Alligator mississippiensis: one gene and its partner. The protein of the gene in region 1 purifies or fractionates together with the protein of each later gene. This does not show direct contact. Links are inferred from orthologs where the notes say so. Each region holds a gene or a part of one and is shown on either strand. Other genes may lie near its edges.

Region 1 (10,420 bases):
TTCAGAAGGGGACTTCTAGCAGGCTTTTCCCTGTTCCCCCATCCCCTTCTGGAGAAAGAGAGATGGGAACTTTTCCCGCCACTTCCCCCTCACCCCACATTTCAGGAGCCAGGCAGTCTTTTTTTTTTCCTCTCTCTCTTTGCTCCCTTCCACCTTCCCTCACCCTTCTAGGAGATCGCTTTTTGCCAGCTCTTTGAACATAACCAGTTCCTTGTGCTTTTTCATGGGGAACCGGCTATTTAATGGGAGACTGCCAATTATGCGATTTCCATGAAATCTGTGAAATCATGCATTTGGAAGGTCTCTACTCTGGAGTGATAATTTAGGGGATTTTGCTACTCTTCAAAAGCCTTCCTAGAATCCTCTCTCAGTGCCTTGTAGGGATGGACAAGTTAGCCCAAAATTCACTGGGAAAGAATTCATAGAATGGCTTGGCTCACTGCAGTGAGCTGGAAACCATTAGGTATGCCTCCAGAAATCAAACTACTAGAAGTGCACCAATAAAGATTTTCTTGATTGAGATACCGATGGCTGATTATTAACCAGCCATTTCGGCTGATACCAATTCAATAGTTGATTTACTGGAATGCAGCCCGGCAGTTTGGAGAAGTGCCCAGCTGGTAAGTCTGTGGAGGGTGAAGGGGCAGGGCGGAGGGAAGAGCATGGGGGGTGCAGATCAAGGCACCTATGGTGACAGACAGAGGCAGGGACAGGGGCTGCTCAGCCAGGACCCTAAGATGAGGCGGGGTGCAGGGCAGACCTGTGGGTGGCTCATCAGGCCCATGGGAGGCAGCTCCCTGCATCTGCATGCACCCCTGGAAAGGTATGGGGGGGGCATGTGCCCCCCAGATGTGTGCAGGGCAAGGGCAGGCTGCGCACTGTGGGTGGCAATGGCACTGTGAGGGGTGGCTACAGGGTGGTATATAGCCACCCCTCCCAGCACCATCCACCCACCCCGCCCCTGCCCAGCCTCCCTTCCACTGGGAAGAAGCCAGCACAGCCCTTGGCCCCAAGCCTGCAGCAGGCAGCTTGTCCTATGCACAAGTCTAGGGGGGCCACATGCCCCCCATTCCTCTCCCAGGGGACTGTGTGACAGGGAGCCCCCCTCCCAAGACAAGTCACCTGCTGATCTGCCCTGCATCGCGCTCCGTCCCAGGGTTGCATTCACCACCCTGGCTGGGCAACATCTGCCCCTGCCTAAGCCCCTCCCTCACCATGGGGGGCCCCCCCATCTGCTCCCCCCCACACCCCTTCCTCTCCACAGACTTACCAGCCAGACACTGCTCTCCAAGCTGCTGGGCTGCACTCCTGGCCACATGCACGCATGCACGGGGAATTTACAGGTGACGTTCTTTGTTATACTGGCCAAAAAAACCCAACTACCGATAATGTTAATTTTCCTTTTACCATTGCTGATCTGATATGCCACCAATACATCAATGCACCTCTAAAAAAATACTACATACAAACGAATGCAACCTCACTGTGAGCATAGCAACTTGATTTATTTTAGTAAGCTAATTTGAAAGAAATAACTGGAGTTACTAAGTGGGGTTTAACTCTGCAGCGAAGACGTACTTTTGCAAGAGAAACCATGAGGTAGCGCGAGAGTTTTACTTATAGGAAGCAGGAAAAGGGAATTCCTGGAGGAGACAACGCATCTCAGGAAAATGACGAGGTGAGATCTTGGAGAAAGGGATGAGAGGGTAGAAGTAATGAAAACACTATGGAAACGGAAAAGGGAATTGCTAAAAGAAAGCAGGGAATATAGTTATCATTAGAAGGAACGGACAAAAGGATCCTTTGACAAGGGACGTCCAAGGGAAGGTGGATGACAGAGAAGAGATTAAGTAAAATCCTTAACAGCAGGCCTGAAGCATCACCGGAACAGGCAGCAACCCACAGTAATGGAAGCCTTAGAGAAAATGGAGCGTACAAGGAACAAAAGGGAAGCAAATGGGGTACTTGGAAGGACATACAGCACCCCAAGAAAGTGAAGTAGATAGAGAAGTGAGCAACCCAGGAAGAAAAAAGAAGTGAACAGTAAAAGATGACGAGTGCAGTGGGAGGGAGGAGAATAAGGGAGAGAAACATCATTCAGAAAAGCAATAAAACATGCAGCCCGAGGGAACCCTGGAAAAGGCAAGATGACAGCGGCCAGGGTGCGCTCCCGGGCTGAAACAGAGGATTCTTTTGGGGGGGATGTAGTGGAGGGCAAAGAAATCCAGGAAGAGCACGGGAGCAAATCCTCATAGGCAGCAAGCCTAGGGAGACACGGAGAGGACCGACGGTGCTGGAGCATGACGCAGGCACCGAAATCCGCTCTCCAGGGATGATGGAGAAGAAGGGATCCGGCAGGTGTAGCCTCCAGCCTCGGTGCGGAAGAAGCCGGGAGCCCCAGCGGCTGCGGGGACCGAGGCATCCCGGCGCGGGACGGAGGGCACCCGAGGGGCGGGGAAGGAGGCAGGGGGAGGACGACGACAAGTAGAGCCGCGGAGGCAGCGGGCGGGCAGCAGGAAGCGGGCACCGCGGCCGGGCTCTGAGGAGGAGGCGGGGAGCGGCGCAGGCGGACGAGGAGCCACGGGCGCTCGGCAGGGGCGGGTCAATCTCGCCCCGGGCTTCCCCGCGCGGCTCGCCGCTGCGCCCCACACCCACCTCCCGCCACCCGGGCCGGCCCCGAGCAAAGCAGCGGGGCGGAGCTGGGGCGCGGCCCCGTTACCTGTACTGCGGCCCGGCGGCGCCGTGAGGGAAGCTGTAGTAGTTGCTGGCCGCCATCTTGGCGTCCTCACAGCCCGGCAGCGCACGAGGCCACGTGACTCCGAGCGGGCCCCGCCCCCCGCGCGTGCGGCCGGAAGCGTGGTCACGTGGGGCCCTGCGCGGTGGCGCAAGCCCGGCTCGTCACGCGGCCGCTTGGCGCCCCCTGGCGGCTTCCCCGGGCGGCGGTCCCTGCGCGCCCAGCCGCATGGGAGCCTGTCCTGTCCCCGCCGCACCCGATAGAAACCGGCGGGAGAGCTCTCGAGCAGCGGCTTCATGACTGGTTGCCTCTTTCTACAGCTGGATAGACATTTTGATGGTGTGATAAGGACTTTTTGCATGCGTGGGAGGACCAGATTTATTGCACGATTAACTGGTTAATTGCATGATAATTAGTGTGCACTTGTGGCCTGTCTAAATTTACTGTGCGAGTAACTCGTTAATTGTGCAATGCATGTAACATGGAGCAGGGCCCTAGAGCTCTGCCCAGCATCGTTTCAATGTGAAGCCAGTGTGCATCTTCCAGTGCACTGCACTTTCCAAAGACAGACAAGTTTCTTTGAATAAATCTGGTATCTTTTATTACACCAACTCAGTTGGGCTTATAAAAAATACCAAATTTACCCAAATAACTTTGTCTGCCTATGTTCTTAGACCAACACGGCTACGACCAACACCCCTTTCACTCTCCAGTGTTACAGCCTCATTACCCAGTCTTAAACGTCATGGTGTTGCTGAAGTGTCATAGGAACATGACAAGGAAAGGACCTTCTGGTTCCAGTGCCAGGCTACGTTCAGGCATCCATGTCAAATAATCCTATGAATAGGTTGATCAAGGCTCAAGAAAATCCTCCACATCAAATGGGAAGACAGCCACACAAACACCAATATTTTTGCTGAAACCAGTTACCAGCCACGAGCTGGCGATCCTCAAGCACCAGCCGTGCTGAATTGGATGTGTGCAGATGTCTGACTCCTGACTCCCAAAACAAGTGCTCTACTCCCAGTTTAGCTATAGCCTGAGCTCTTGTGGCCAGAGGAAATGGTACCAGGACACATTCAAGGCAGACCACAAGAAAACAGATGCCAACATCAAGAGCTGGGAAAAGCTGGGTGCCAACTCACTCCAATGGCACTGGAACCTCAACCAAGTGGCAGCCAATTCTGAGGTAAAACGCCTTGCTCTCAAAGCACGGGAGAGAGAGCAGGGGAAGGAAAATGAGTGAAATCCCAGCGTACATCCAACTCCGCCCTGCAGAAAGACCTGCAACTTCTGTGGACGGATCTGTGGCTCAAGGATTGAACACTTATGTCAACTCAAGATCCATCAGTAAGATGTGGTAAAGATCATCCTCAAATCAAGGGATTGCCAACAACATTCATCAAGCTCCATTTTAAAACTAGTTAGGTATTTTGCCTCCACTACTCATATTGGAAGGCTCTTCTAGAATCTCACTCTGATGCTTATAAGTCTTCTAATTTCCAGCCTAAATTTATTCAAGCCACACTGTCCCCATTTGTTATTATGCCAACCTTGTCCATTACCTTAAACAGCTCCCTTCCCTTCCTAAATTCTCCTATAATGTATTTATAGAGAGCAGTCATGTTCTCAATTTTCTTAAAATATCAATACAATATGATTTAATTGCACCAAAAATAATTCATGCTCCATATGCCAACATACTAGACTCAATGTGTTTTATGATGTGCTAAATGTCACCACACTGCATCATCATGGTAGCACTGTGCCAATGAGCATCACATTTTTTGATTCCATATCATAATGCAACATGAAAGCACTACACAGATGTGTCAGTATGTTGAATCAAAACATCATGACAGATCTAAGACACTGCAGTAATATAACACCACACTTTAAAAAAAGCATAAATCAAAAGTGCTGCTGCTTCAAATCATCACAACTTTACACAACAACGGTTTTCTTGCACTGCAACTGAATATATGCTTGTGTTATGAAGTGATGCCATGGCATAAAAATGTCACGTGGTAAAACAGGACAAAGACTCAGTATGGCCTCACTCTGAGCTGAAGTTTGGACTTCAAGGGCTCAGAGGGTTTTGGAGACTGAAAGGGTTTTAAGACACCCATGACCTTTCTAGAGACAGTTGTGAGGATTAAACTCAGTATTATTTGAGAAAACCCAAGACTGGTGATAACAGAAGGCTGCCATCATATGAGTGAGAAAACTGTAACATGATAGCTGGCAAACAGCAAATTCAGGCGATGGCAGGTGTCCAAATATCTTCAGTATTTTCACAAAGCCTCTATATCAGGATCAGCCAGGTTTGAAATGTACATCATGTGGAGCCTTCCCAAGGTAACCGTGAGGAAGAAGAGTCAGGCTAATGTAATGTCATGGCTTCCCTCCCCTAATGGTTAGTCTTTTTTACTAAAGCTGGTATGAAGCTGCCTCTCAATACTTTCTACATGATCAGGTGTCCCCCCAGCCTGTGACAGAGATGGGGCTGCTCCAAATGCCAGTGTCATGTCCGCAAACTGGAAATTAGAATAGCCCCAAATTTACGGGCCATTAGAACATGACTAGTTGAATAGGATTCACTGGGCAACCAGCAAACTAAGTATTCATGAGTCCAGAAGTGCCAAACAAAACCATTGGCATTAATAAAGTTGAAATCTATTAAAACTCAAGATGGCTTGAAGAAAATTATTTGCATTTTCAGTTTCTGATTTTTCATGTATTCCAAAATAATGACAATTTATGGGCAGTCCACATACAGATACAGGGATGGATGACAGCAAACACATCTGTATGTGTGATCATATCACCTCAATTGTATACCTTTGGCAGATCCAAATTTACCTGCATTCCACCAAAAAGCGTTAGCTCACATTTACAGCTGCGACGTATATTATTATTAAATACAGAATCATACATTTGCGCTTGCGTAACATTTACTGTAAAGAAAAATATCTCACAAAAATTGAAGAAAAAATCATTTTCTGATGTCCTTTATCTTGAGTTTTATCCTGTCCATTTCTTTACGTCAAGGAAGAGCATTTCCAGGCATTTTCCTTTTTAGATTTCAACCCGTACTGCCTTATTGTGCTGAAAATAGCAGCCACGGAGAGTGAGGGGCGTTTCGTTCCATCCCTGCAGATGGAAGTGGGATTGAATGCTTGACGGGAAGGGACGTGGAAGGGATTTTACAAACCCGCCCCTATGAAAAATGGATTGTTTGGGGCGCCCATGGATTATCTCTGGCCAAAAATGTCCTTTTGTTTGACAGAGAGGAAGGGCCAACAAGTGTGAATGGTGCCAACTACCACCCCCAAGCTGGGCCTTGCTGCTCGTCACCACTACAACGCGTGTCTCCTGCCCTCCAGGCCCTGCGGGCAAACCTCCCGCGATGCCAACCCCAGCCCCGCAGGAAAGAAACCCTGGCGCCTGCAAGGCCGTTCCGCCGGCTCCACCTCGCACTTTGCCTCACGAGGTGGACAAGGAAGAGGTGCCTCGTCCAGCCCCCACGGAGCGCTGACACCAGGGGCTCCCGGGCGCGCTGGTGCCCCGCGAGGCCGGCGGGGGTGCTGCACGCAGCCCAGGGAACGATGCGGCCTGGCCTAGCGAGGAAGCCCCGCGGGGCAAGTCTCCGCCCGCCCGCGCCGGGGATGGAGGGAGGACTGAGGATGGGGGACTCCGGACCCCCTCCCCCCCACCGGGAGGTTCCGCCTCCGGTCCGCAAGTGACGGGCGGGCGGCCGCTCCAATGGCTCCTCTGGCACGTGGGCCGCGCAGCCAATGGGGCTCGGCGGGCGGGGCGGGGGCGTGGCCAGCGGCGCTGCGAGCGGCTTGTTGTGCGCTGCGGAGCCGTTCGTGCTGCTTCCAGGCCCCGCCGGAGTCCTGACGGGTGAGGCAGGCGGGCGGCCCGGGCGGGTGCGCGCGCGGGAGGCCGGTGCTGAGGCGCGGGGGCAGCCGGGCCGGGCCTGCCACCGCCGCCGCTGGGGGAGCAGCGGGACGCGACGGGCGGCGCGGCCTGCGCCTGGGCCTGGGGCGGCGGAGCCGGGGCCTGGGGCGGCGGCGGGCGCGCGGCAGGGCCCGGCGCTGCGGGGAGCGGAGCGAGGCGCGGGCCGGCCGAGGCCTGCCTGGGGCCTGCTGCGCTTGCGCGGGCGCCGCGGGAAGGCGCCGTGCCGCGGCGGCGACTCGCTGCTTTTTGTCCCCATCGCGCTTCTGCCCTGAGCCGCCCCCGGCCCGGCCCGGCCCGGCCCGGCCCGGCCCGGCCCGGCCCAGAGCAGAGCGGCGCGGCGCGGCGCGGCGCCGGGCGGGGTTTGTCCGGGCGGGCGAGCCTGGCGCGCGGCTCCCTCGTGCGAGGCCGGGGGGCCGGGCACCGGCGGGGAGGCACGTGTGCGGGAGGAGGCGGGATGTCCGTGTAGGCCCCGCGGATCGCAATGGAGAGAAAGAAACGGCAGAGCACAGCATCACCGGCGGACTCGAGCACGGCCTGTTTTCCCGGGTGTTGCTGCTGCTGGCACAGGCGGTCACTGGTTGTGCTGGGGCTTGTCACCCCTCCTTCTCCTCTTCCATCTACCTGCCCTAACGGGTGGTGGCTTCCGATTTTCTAGGCAGAGTTGATTTTGACTTCAAACGGCTTCATCCTCGCCGCCCGCTCGCACCTTTCCGTCCGCTCCGGTTTTGACGACTTCTAGCTTCTCTGACCAGACTTGCCGTGGCTGTGGCATTTCCCTGTCTAGCCTGGCTGTCTCTGGTGTTTTGTTTTGGGGTGTCCCACTGCCATTTCAAGCTGTTTCTCTAAAACTGAACTGCTTTGGGTGTTGGTGCTATTGGTCCGTACGCCCTGCGTTCCATGTGTGGGGATGGCAGCAGTCTGTTCAAAATATAATCCTTTCTGTGTGCACCAACAGTTGTACTTTTATTGTGTTCTTTGCGTGACCTTTTACTGTACTCCTCTGACCCTCTTTTGCTTTTTTTGGCAAGACCTTGTTGTTTCTTTTTTAACTTAAGCTTAGCCTGTATTATTGGTTTGTCCTTATCTTGGTCACTTCTCACCTTTACCTGTGGTAGCAACTTATTTAGTCTCCTGTTCTTTTCTCTCTTCTCTCACCAACTGCACTAGTTACTGCTGCATATATTTGCCTTTTCTGTAACTATATTTTGAGTCTGATCTGTGGTTTCCTGTCTCCGTGCACATAAAATGCATGAATTAGGCACATAATCATCATTGAAATCTCTGTGCAGCCTTTCCTCTTCCATCGCTACATTAAATCTACTTTGTTTCCCATCTTCTTGCCTTATTCCTTTGGGGCTTTGTTTTTCTCCCCTCCCCTCATTTTGAATTTTTATACCTTCTGTTACTTTTACTTTCTGCAGCTAAACTGACCACCTTGTCTCCGTCTATAGAACCATGCCCCTTTTCTTTTAAAGCCTGTCCCTTGAAAGCAAGTTCACCAGCCTGTGCCCTCTTTTTTCCGCAGGGGTGATGGTTTTTACGTAGCTATCTGATTTCAGGTGCAAGGCCTTCTGGGGTAAAGCTATCTTATAACACGTTAGTAGGACTGAAATGAAGGTTGTATCAAAACAAACATTTAGTTTTGAGAGACCTTTATTGTCTCTGAGGCTCAGACTATTTGGTAGTTATAGAAAACTTTTACAGCTTGTTCATGCTTGGAAATGTCCCAAAGCAGGTATTCTGAAACAGCTGTTTATGTACATTTTGTAGTGTAGATAAATTGTAAAAATAGAAGTCATTCTGAGTTTCCCTCTAACTTTGAGGGTTTCAATCTACTGGCATATGGAATTCCAGGATAAGATAAATTTTTCCTTTCTGAAATTTAAGTTGGGTAGCTCTCCTGTGTCTTGGAACTTAGGGGTGCATGACCTTAGTATGTAGAAGCACCAGGGTGTTGGTGCTACTCATGTATGTACATGTGGGGAGAGTTGTATCATTGGATTTAACTGATGTGTACAAAACCTATTAAAAAAGTTATTGCCTTTAACTTGTTTCAGGTATACCGTAAAAGTTAGGACTGTGATAATGTTCACTGACTCTGGTCCCTCCTTGTTTTATAAAAGGAGAAAGGGTTAAGTTACAATTCCTTTCTTTCCTTGGTCTTCTGAGGAGAGGGTTAGGAAGCTCCACTCTCTACTCAGTCTGGTGGTTAACAGGCCATCTTCTAGAGACTGAACAAGCTGGCATCTCCATTCTGTTCTGCTTTTGCTTGCTGTCACCTTCTCTGTACATTACAAATCCGATCAACAGCACTTGATCTACTGAAATGAGAGTGTAGACAACAGCCAATTCTTGGCTCTGTACAGCTGGGAATTACAGTTCTTGCCAGAGGTGGGTCTGAGGACCCCATGGTCCACATCTGGCCCAGGAAGCCAAACCAGTTTGATACCCTTGGCTTAGACCATGATTGCAGAATTCCAAGCTGGTCCCATGTACTCTCGTTACTCAGAGGGGATTTGGGGAGAGTGCCGTGACCTTTCATCTGTTGAAACAGCTTTGGAGAGGTAAGGATGGCATTTATGGTAGCTTCCATTCTGTCCCTTGTCCTGGCCCTTAGTGTTGTTAATTCCACTCTGAATGAACTGGTTGTAATTTGTCTCACTGCTGGCAAAATTAAGAAAAACATTCTTCTCCAGGGCAGTTATCTTTGTTTGCTAAGCTAAAGATTACGTGTCAGACCCGGAAACTGATAGAGGTTTCAGCCTTCTTGTAACCTTTCTGGAGGGGGTGGTATAAGCATTTACATGGTAGAAAAATAAAGCTGAGTGTATAAGAATGATACTTTAAATGTCTTTCTTTAAAATTGTGTCATATATACACAAAAGCATAAACTTATTTTACTAATTTAAACTAAAATAGAAGTATAGTAAGATTTTGCCAGCAAACATCTACTACTTAGACCACTGAAATGGTGGGAGTCGAGTACCTGAGACTAGAGTTCATTGATATGCCGAACCTACTTTTGCCAGTAGTCACCTCTTCTGGGGGTTTTGATGTTTTGAGGCCAAACAAATATGGTGCATATATTGTGAGTACTTGAGGTGCATTTTGTTGGAGACTGAGTGAGAGCAGATAATGGGATGTATGAGCCTTAAACAAAGATCCCAAAGGTCATTTTCTCACTTTTTAAAAAATGTGCGAGTGGATGTGCTAGCTTGAAGTTTTCTCTTGCTCATAATCTTGTTAGTTTATTAAAAAAAAAAAAAAAAAAAAAGCTTTGGAATTAATGATACTGTAAATGATTTCTGTCTAAATTACTTTCCATTCATTTTTAGGTCTCAGTCAGCATTCCTGGAATGCTAGGGGGAAAGTAGGGATGGGAGAGCCTGAAAACATGATGGAGAGTATATGCAAGGGAGAATTTGTGCCTGGAGAAGAATGAAATACAGTGTGTTTTCAGGGCCTTAGACAGATGCTGGTTTTTGCTGCAATTTATAGAAGCTTGGCAGAACATGAAGCTCTGGTGTTGGGTTTGTGGTGAAAAGGGGGATGTTTGGGGTGATAGCACTTGTTGGGCTTTGCACTTTCTCTAGCTCTTGCATCTCAGGAAAGTCTCATAAGTTTTGAAGTAGTGGAGATGAGATTATTCTGGCCGTGTTTTTTTTTGTCATGATCTGAGACCCTAGGTGTTTGGGCTACAAAAGCAACTCTGTTTTTCTGTTT
Region 2 (9,646 bases), on another chromosome or scaffold:
ATACATAGATTTTATTTAAAGATGTTCACAGAATCAGTGGAAATTAAGCTAATTCACATCTCTATTTGGTTCTCAAATCTAACTAATCATTTCAGAATTAATTTTATTTTGAACAACTTCATCAGAACCAGCTGAAATCAGCTGAATCGTCTGAGATGAGAACTAGTCATGAATACTTTTGATGTAATATATAACATTGAACAAAAGGTAGTTTAAGCTGTGGTTCTAGTTATAATAAAATGAAATACATTATAGTGTTCCTTCTTCCTTTCAATTTGAATTGTCTCCCAAACATTATGACTACACATGCCTTGTATTCAGATTAATGTTAAGAGTTGACCTATAATTGAAATGGATCATTTCAATTAATATAATTTAAATGGATCATTTTTAAAAACAAAAAACCTTATTTCTGTGCTTTATATACTTTAGATGTTATTCAAGACTCTCAGCACATATTTGTTAGGTGTTACTAAACACATACTTTCAAACTTGCTGATTTAGATTTTTCAGAATTCTAAGTGTTTTTGAAACTATATTAATCTTACACAAACAAAATTAATTCCTTTATCAACAACTGGAAAATTAAATGAAGGAATGTAGAGAAATTTCTGTTTTTAACTAATTCTTGTTTGCTACCAGTGTACCATAAAGGTGATTTCAAGCACAAATAATTTATTGTTGTTAATCTGAAACAGAAAATAGTAGACTAATTATATTTTCTCATATTAACCCCATATTTTGCTGAAATCCCATGAGTCTTTTTTGCCAGCTCTTTCAATTCTCCTCCCAAAGGAATTTTTCTAAAAGTTTAAGAAATATTTGATATTTGTACTGGAAAATACATTGTAAAAATTCAACAAGAATCAATTTTTTGCCTGATCAGAAGATGTCAGTATAAAGATAAGGCTTTTACTAAACCATAAGCAAAAACTGCAAGCTGATGTAAAAGAAAAAGACGTACAAATTTTCCCTCAATTTAATGTCCAACCAATATACAAAAAAAGCAACTCTTCAAAGTGACTTTAAAAGTGCAACTTTGTTTAGAGAAATACTGAAAAAGGCCACAAACTTATTGATAAAACTAGTGCTGCTATTCATCTAATAAAAACTGTTGCTTATCATAGCATTTTCATTAACATTTCCCTTTTGGATTTTTGTTGCAATTGGTAACAGCTTTTAACTTTCCAAAAGCAAAAAATATTTCCCACTATAGGTTTTGTGTGTTTTGGGGGTGGGGAGGCTGGGTTGGGGGCAGGGGGGAAAGGAATTTTTCCTACAAGATACTCAGTTGGGATATGGAAGAATTAAGAATCAAGTTTAAAATGGTGTGACAGTCTTCTCTCACCATCTTCTTTAAGTGAATGAATACAGGTCTATTTTCCCCCCAAGTAGATCAATGATTTAACTGCTTCTTCTGTTTGCATTCTCTAAATACCTTGCATCTGGAATGCTCCAAGGGGAAGTCGTTTGACTGATACTCTTTCTTGTTTCAAATCTAAATTGAAGACTTCCCTCTTTGTTTGGATTGTTTTTAAGACTGGTTTCCTTAACTTAATTATTGCAAAGATTCTGAAACATGAAGAGTGGTCCCTGTAAATTAATAAACTATAACAAAAGTATTGTACCAAGTTTTGCTATAGATCTAAACCAAGCAGTGATCAAAACAACTCATTTATTTAGACTTGGGCACATTTGTCCACGGCATATTTCCGTGTGTGTAAATAGGTGAGCATTGCAGTTTTCAATTTAGTTGCAGAGAAGATTTGAAAGGCATTTTCTCTGCAATAGTAAGTTTCTTTAGAAATTTCAGAGCTCTGTTCTTTTCACCTGTAAATTTCAGGCTCGAATTACAAACTGAATGCCTCAGTAACATGAATATGGCCACAGCAGTTCCCTGCAAAGACTGCTCTGGTGAATTTAGTTTGGGACTTTAACAAGAGGTAGTAAGGGCAGCTAGGAGGTTGGTAACAAAACTTCTTGTGGTGAACAGCATCTGCATGTTTTTTTTTAAATCAGGGACCACAAGAAAATAGAAACTGGTTAGTATGCAGTGAAAAGCACAAATAATTTATCGTCTTAGAATCTTTAAAAAAAAAGATACTTCTCAATTCTCTTTAAGTTCTTAACTATCAGTGGCATCCAACACACACACTTTGTTAGCTGTAAGTGTAAATCACAGGAAATGAACACAACTTGAGTGGTTTAAACTTTATTTACTAACAAACCGTGAAAGCAATCTTTAATACAACCCCCCCCCCAACTATTTAGAAACATTTTAGAAATTAATTAATGTAAATATGGAACCACATTTGAGGGATAACCAAATCACCCTGGAGTGTATGTTAGTAGTGCATGTATCATTTTAGTGTCCAGAAAAAATCAAGCCAGAAGCCAAACACAAAAATCAAGCCTCCAAATAAGTACTTAGAAGAAATTTACTACCCTGCAGAAGGGTTACCAAGGGGAAAGGAAATGTAAAGTTAGCTTGTATATCAACGTTTCTGACCGATTAAAATAATACAGAAAATCCTTAACTAAGCAGTTTCCAGTTGAGTTTTACTGGAGGAGTTAAAACAGCTACAATGTTACTCACATGTGACTAGATTTCTTTCGAAACAGAATCAACAATAACAACAAAATCTCTATCTGTATCCTCTGGTGGAAAAAACAAACCAACCACGTGTTAGTAAATGTTACTGGGAACTACTGTAGTTAAATACAATAAAGGGAAGAAATGTGTCTATACTAATATTGGGAGTTTATAAACCATGTGTTGACTGTCCAGAATGTATTAATAACCCATCGGAAAAGGACCACAGGCTTTTTTTCCCCTTTTCTTTTCTTGAATGTCCATTTCAAGCAGTTGTGCTTGGGGGCTTACAAAGTCCAGCTATCTGGGTGAAGAATTAGCATCAGCGCGGCCGGCCCCACTGCTCTGCAGCCTGCAATTGTGCATTATATTATTATGATGCTTATTCTTTAAATGCTGCACGTCTGAGAAAGATCCCAGGCAGAACTGCTCTGCTCCTACTTTGCCCAATCCTCAGACATGAACAACCTGCTGCGGGAACTCGCAGCCCCTCCACGGGTAACGCGGCACAAGCAGCCTGCAAAGAAATCGGTTTATTCCAGCCGGTTAGAAACACTCTCACACACCATTTGGCCAACAGATTCCAGTGGGCTCCCCCGCCCCTTCCCCTGCAGCACAAACCACCAAGCTCCCAGTTGTACTGGGGAGGCATCAAGTAGGCTAGATCCCAGCTCAGGGAAAGGAAAGGGCCAAAGTTTTGCTTTTCTTGGGACAACTGGTGCCTCTTCGGGGACGTCTTCTCTGCTGCCTCTGGAAAGGGATTGTCAATGATTCCTTCACAGCCCCCCCCCGCACTCCCTCCCACCCACCCTCCTTCCTTCCTTCCTCCCTCCCCCTATGGATTTCCCTTCTTCCCCTGCTTTAATGACTGAGCTGACCTCAGAACAGGCTATTCTAGGAGCCGAAAGAGATCCACCCAGCGCAGGGACTGAGCTCACGAGATCATGGACTCTTCCCCTTGCCACACACCCCGGGAGACAATGAAGGCTTGCAATCCCCTTCCCCAGCCCTCTTCTACAAGGAGGGGGGGGGGGGCCGTTGCCATGGGGGGGAGGGGTTAGCACTTTGGCGCTGAACCCCGCACTCCCCCCCCTTCCATTCATGAAATCCAGCCTGCGCTCCTCGTGACCCAATGGACCCAAGTGGATACTCTGGGCCCCCCCCCCCGCTTCTTTAGAGGGGGAGGTTTTTTTTCTCCCCCCCCGCTCCCCACTGGAGGATGGGGAAGGAGGGACATGTGGCTAATTTTACACCGATCGCGAGCCTAAAAATAAAAGTCTCCCGAAAAGGCAGGCTGAGAATAGAGGCACTGCAAGAAGGGGGGGTGGGTGTGTGTGTGTGTGTAGAGTGGGGGAGGGTCCAGCCAGGCGGGTGTCCATTGCCGTGCACCGAATCGTAGCCGAGCCGCGAAGGGCAAGACCCGGGGGGTCCCGTCCAGCCGCGGCCACGAGCTGCAGGATGGCTCTGCGCCGGGCGCGGCTCCAGCCCCTGCCCCAAAGCCCGGCGCGGTGGGGGGGGCAGCCCAGAGCAAACCCTGCCCCTGGGGGAGCGGAGAGATCTGGGCACGGCTCCGCTCCTCTCCCCCCAGCACACACACGCACAGGGGAGCAGAGCGCCCTGCCATGCCAAAGTGTGCGCTGTGCGAGTGGGAAAGGGCTTCATTCATCCTTCCCTCGACAACGTGGTCTGGGCAAAAAAGGGGGCTGCGCCGTGCGGAGTTGCCGGAGCCCGATCTCCCTCCTTTGTGCCTTTTCTCCCTCCCCCCAGCCCAGCCACCACCTCCAGACTTGAGGGCTTCTGGTGGAAACAATGAGCGAGGGACACGTTTGCCGAGAGATCCCAGGGACCCATCCCAGCCCCAACCCCCCCACGAGCTGATCGATGCCTGGGTTTCATTGTTGTGCTCCCTTTTTCTTTATTGATCCCTGCACCCCACCCCGCGTGGTCCCAAACTGAAACTTCGCCTCTCTCGCCCAGCCCCACGGTGCGCCTGAATCCGCATTTCCTTTGATGAAGAAGTTTACACCCAGCAAAGGGAAGAAAAAAAAAAAGCCCATTCAAGCACTTGGAAGCCATGGGGGGAGGGGAAGCAAGAAGGGGAAGGGGAAGGGGGTGGGGGGAGCGCAGCCAGGATGGGGGTGGGTGGGTTTGATCGCGGAGGGAAGGCTGAGTTGGAAGAGGGCAGGGTGGTGGGGGCGGAGAGGGGGTGGGCTGGCATGAGGCCGGTGGAGAAGGCACCGAGACGTCAAGGCAGCCCAGGGGGGGAATGGTAAATAAAATAGTATTAAGGGGGAAAAAAAATAATAAGAAAAGGAATAAGCGAGGTGCCCACTCCCCCCGGCGGAGCGCGCCCCTCCTACTGCAGGGGCTGGTCCGTGTGCACGACCACGTGGCTTCCTCTTGCAAACATTTTCACTCATTTTTTCAGGTCGATTTTATTTAGAGGCGGTGCCAGGCAGGCTAAGAAACGTCCTGTGACATATGAGTGCGACTCAAAGGAGTTGGGGGGCTGAAAGAAAAGCGGCAGCACTTCCCCAGCCCGCCATACCAGTTGAACCAACCAACTCCCCCCATTGAGCCTGAAACAAGGAGAGCCAGCTCGGTCCCCCCCTCCCCCGGCCCCTCCCCGGCAGAAAAGCACACAACTTGCCTCCCCAGTTGGTGGACTCCAGTTGGAACTGGGAACTTTTTCTTGTCTTTCCTCTCGTCTCCCCCTCTCCTTTCTCTCCTTCCCCCTCCGGGGCTGAGCGGTGGCTTTTTTCCTCCCCCCCGCCCACCCCAACCCCGCTCATCTCTTCCGAGAGAGAGAAAGCAGAAAAGTTTCTCCCGCACTCTGCCACACCGCCCCCCCTCTCCCCTCTGACAGCCCCCCCGCCCCCCCACCGCCCTCCCCAGCTCCGGGAGCCACCATGAACAAGCTGTACATTGGGAACCTAAACGAAAACGTGACTCCAGCAGATTTGGAGAAAGTCTTCAATGACCACAAGATCTCCTTCAGTGGCCAGTTCCTGGTGAAATCTGGCTATGCCTTTGTGGATTGCCCTGATGAGCAATGGGCCATGAAAGCCATCGAAACTTTTTCTGGTAAGCAGATTATCTCTCTCTGTCTCCCCCCCCCTACGCCCCCCGGCCCCGCTCCCCCCGGCCCCCTCTCCTCCTGGGGCTGCAGCAGGAGCCGGAGCATCGCGACGGAAGAAAGGGATCCCGGCGGCGGCGTGGAGCGGGATCGCGGCCCCCTCCCACCCTCCTGCTCATGGTTCCCCGAGTTCGTCTCCCTGCTGAACGGCCACGGCCCTCCCATTCCGCGTCCATTCCCAGGGCCTCGCACGGATCCCCCCGGGGCTGGGGGAGGCCCCCCGGCCAAGTCACTCGGGGGGAACCTGGCCTCCCCGATCCACTCCCCCTGCCTTCCAAAACAGAGAAAGAAATACACGAAGAAGAAGAAACATAATAATCATAATAAAAAAGGAGAAGCCCTTGGGAAGGCGAAGGGCCAGACCGATCGCTCTCCTCCCTCCCCGGCCTGCAGCCTCCCCAGAGAGCACCCCCTCCTCGGCATGCGAGCCCCTGGACCCAGCACCCGGGCTGCCCCCTTCCTCCAGTGTGGGCGATCATTCCACCCCCCCCCAAATACCCGCCTCCCCTCCCCCCTTGCAAGCAGCACCAGGCCTTTGGGGTGCCCAGGCGCCTGGCCCTCCACTCTGCCCCCCACCCCAGGCCAGTGGGGCCCTGGCGAGTGTCGGGGTCCCATCGGCAGGAGGGGTGGTGGGCTTGGATCTTGGCCATTTTGATTTGAAACTGGGTTTCCTGGGGCATGTGATGTGTGTAGTAGCGCGAAGGTCGCCATGCTGTTCTCAGAGAGAGAGAGAGAAACTACTAGGGAAGCAAATACATTTTTGATTCTCCCAAGATCTCCCAAACTCCAATCCACACCCCCCACCCTATTTTCTCCCCCCAAAAGCAGCCGATCGCAGAGCACGTCTCTCCGTTTGCAAAGGGGAGGCCCATTTCTTCTCCTGAGTCGTATTTTATTATTATTGTTTTTAGCCCTTGCATGAGAAACGTGCCCCTAGGAGTCCTGGAAAAAATGATTTTTTTTGCCCCCCTTTTATTAATCTTAAAATGTAATTCCTTTTTTTTTTCTTTCTTTCTCTGGAGCATGCCTCTTCTCAATACACTGAGCAGTATGATAAGGAATTAAATGTTCCTGGGCAACATTGTCCTGGCAGCTACACACCACTCCCTCCCAGTCCTTCCCAGTTGGAGGCCAGTTTTATATTTAATAAAGTGCACTTGCAAAAGGACCAGAAAATGTATTTTTGTGTGCAGTCCAGCATCATTTGAATTAAAATGCAAGGTTTCACATGAGAGAATGTTATCCAAGTCTTTCTGACCCCCCACCCAGATTTAAAAAAAGGACACATTTTGTTTTTAGGGAAAGTGGAGCTACATGGAAAACAGCTAGAGATTGAACATTCAGTTCCTAAAAAGCAAAGGTAATACAGCATTTTAATTTCTTTTATTTTTTCCCTGTTGAAAAATAGCTAAGGTAATGATAAATAAAAATACCAGCCCAAATACGTGCATGTGAAATTAGATGTGATATAGAGGTTTGGGGGACTTGAGATGTGCCCCAAGCTAGGCACGAGTCAGTGCTGATCTTCTTTATGTGGGTTTTTTTACATTTATTTTTTAAAGTTACTTTGTAAGTAAGTTTTAAGAAATGATTACAAATGATGCAGTAGTTTACTCAAGGTGGTGTATGACTGAGATCTGTTTTTAGGTTTCCAATACATGTGAGGCCAGAAGTTCTCTCTCGCTCTCTTTTAAGCTGTATAGTTTCCAGTTAGTTTGATCACTTTTCTTTTTCTTTCTTTCTTTTTTGTTTTCAATTATAACATTTAATAAGGTAAATTTATTTTTTTTTAATAAGGACTTGTTTGAATATTTCATGCAGGGAGTGTATTTTAAATAAATTGCAGGGAGGGAACTGGTTGTACTGGAGAACTCTTACTGAGTGGTCTGTAATGATTTCACTTGCCTTATTTTTGCTTTAAACAGAAAAATAGAGTCTTTCTGTTTTTAAATGGATGCTATTTCTCCAGCTAGATTTTAAAGAAGCGTACAGTCGAGGTCTCCATGCCCTTGGCCTTTTGTTGAGGGATCCTCTTGTGTTAAGGAATTATTCTGGCTACAATGTAGATACTTTGCAGTTTAGGGGAAGATACCACACAGAGGAGGAGAAATCCCCAAATAATGAATGGCAATGGCTTTTTAGAAAAAAAAAAAGTATTTTCTCCACCTCATTGGGAGCAGGAGATTTGGCCCAAGATACAAATAGTCCACGTTGAATTCTAGCAGAATCTATAGTACACTTCATCCACGTGATCAGGCAGTTACTTCAGCAGCAGAGCAGAAGGGAGGTGGTGAAACAGATCATTTATTGCCTGTTTTCCCTTCTTTAGGATTGACAAAATATATCAACAAGGCACTAGTGACATCTTACAGGGAAAAGCTAGGCCTGAACCATTTGTTGGGCTTTTAAACTTTCTCACCAATTTGCTAGTTCAAGCCCAGGGGCTGAAAACTGGATCTTCTATAACACATTATAGGTTAATGAGACCCAGAAGGTTTAGCTCCAAACCAAAAATCTAATAATTTCTTATCAAATATTTTAGCAACAAGACCCATCTCATGTATATAGACAATCAATATTGCTTGTTACAGTGTTCAAAGACTTGCTGTGGTTTAAATATCAATTGAATGGAATGTTATTGGAAAGGCAATTACAGTATGAAAGGTAACATAATAAAATCGAAAAAGTCTGATTTTTTTTTTCCTTAGCACTGCTAGAAAAATCAATAGGTGAATACAGTAGATTTTGAGATATTTCTTAGTTCATTTATCCTAACCTTTTTTCATACTTTCTTAATAATAGCAAAGGAGAAATTATACTGAAAGGTAAACATTTCCTGACTGTGTATTTCAAACAAATTGTGATTTAAACTTTATAATAAGTGGAATCAAACTTAAGGTTAGTTAGCAGATTTCAGGGAGACACAGGAGAAATAAAATTAATTACATACAGATCCTAAATTCTATGGCGTGGTGTGTTTTTATAGTTATATATACCCCCATCTGCTTTCTTTAAAGCTACAGGAGCCATTTTTGATGTTGACTTTCTCCCTTAAAGTGTTTTATTTGAAGTAGCTTTATTAGTACAAGACTGTGATGTTTCTCAGGTTGGATACATTCATTTATCACTTGATTTTTTGATAAAGTTACACTGTCTTGATTTCCTAAGACAGACTTGTATTTCTGTTTTCTAAATGTGGCCTTAAAATGTTAATAGATTTAGGAAGTTAACTAAAAAAAAGAAAAAAAAATGTAAAATGATGATACACCATCTAATAAGATTATTTTTGTCTAAGAGTGAGGTGATGTTAGTGGCTGTGTTTCTAAGTGTTTCCTTTTTTCTGGTTGTTTTGGGACTGGATTTTCCAGTCGAAGGACATACAGAGCAGGAAATAGTTAATTAGGTATGATTAACAAGGATTCAGATGTTGTTAGTATAATTTTTAAAAAACCTGATGAGACACAAACTTTGAAGCATAGAAACTTAGAAAATGAAGCCACATTCACTCATGTGCTTTTCAGAGAGTTTTACAACTAAAATGTTGACTTGTTGCTTAGATCTCTTTTGTTACAAGAACTAAAACTGATAAATGCTAAATAAGACTAAAGTTGATGTGTTTTGGAAATTAATATATTTCAGGAAACTGCATATCACAGTTAGTTCTTTCTTGATTGTTTCTTTTCTTCTTATAAAATGTGTCTTCTCTTCTCATCCCTAACAAACATGAATTAAAATATTGAGAATGTGTCAGTGTTAGATGTGAGAGAATTGCTGGAGTACATTTGTGCAAAGTGTAAGAGAGTTACAAATTCATTAAGAATAATTTAATTAAATGGCTTCTACCAGGATTCTCTGAGAAATCTTCAAAACTGCTTATTCTGTTGATGTTGATTAGGAAATTATTTTAAAGAAATATT

The links. The genes of interacting proteins can lie anywhere in the genome.
Region 2: the proteins of ELAVL1 (region 1) and IGF2BP1 purify together in Homo sapiens (co-immunoprecipitation; 3 studies listed by BioGRID and IntAct, with this or other methods). This does not show direct contact. The link is inferred for Alligator mississippiensis from reciprocal best matches to the Homo sapiens genes ELAVL1 and IGF2BP1.

What each region holds. Positions count from the first base shown.
Region 1 is NC_081839.1:9,481,502-9,491,921, forward strand, and holds the start of ELAVL1 (ELAV-like protein 1), read left to right. Parts: upstream 1-6,532; 5' UTR 6,533-6,640; intron 6,641-10,420. Other genes in the region: ZFR2 (zinc finger RNA-binding protein 2), read right to left, coding at 2,720-2,775. UniProt on the Homo sapiens protein: RNA-binding protein that binds to the 3'-UTR region of mRNAs and increases their stability.
Region 2 is NC_081827.1:168,520,693-168,530,338, forward strand, and holds the start of IGF2BP1 (insulin-like growth factor 2 mRNA-binding protein 1), read left to right. Parts: upstream 1-5,037; 5' UTR 5,038-5,502; coding exon 5,503-5,677; intron 5,678-7,028; coding exon 7,029-7,089; intron 7,090-9,646. UniProt on the Homo sapiens protein: RNA-binding factor that recruits target transcripts to cytoplasmic protein-RNA complexes (mRNPs). This transcript 'caging' into mRNPs allows mRNA transport and transient storage.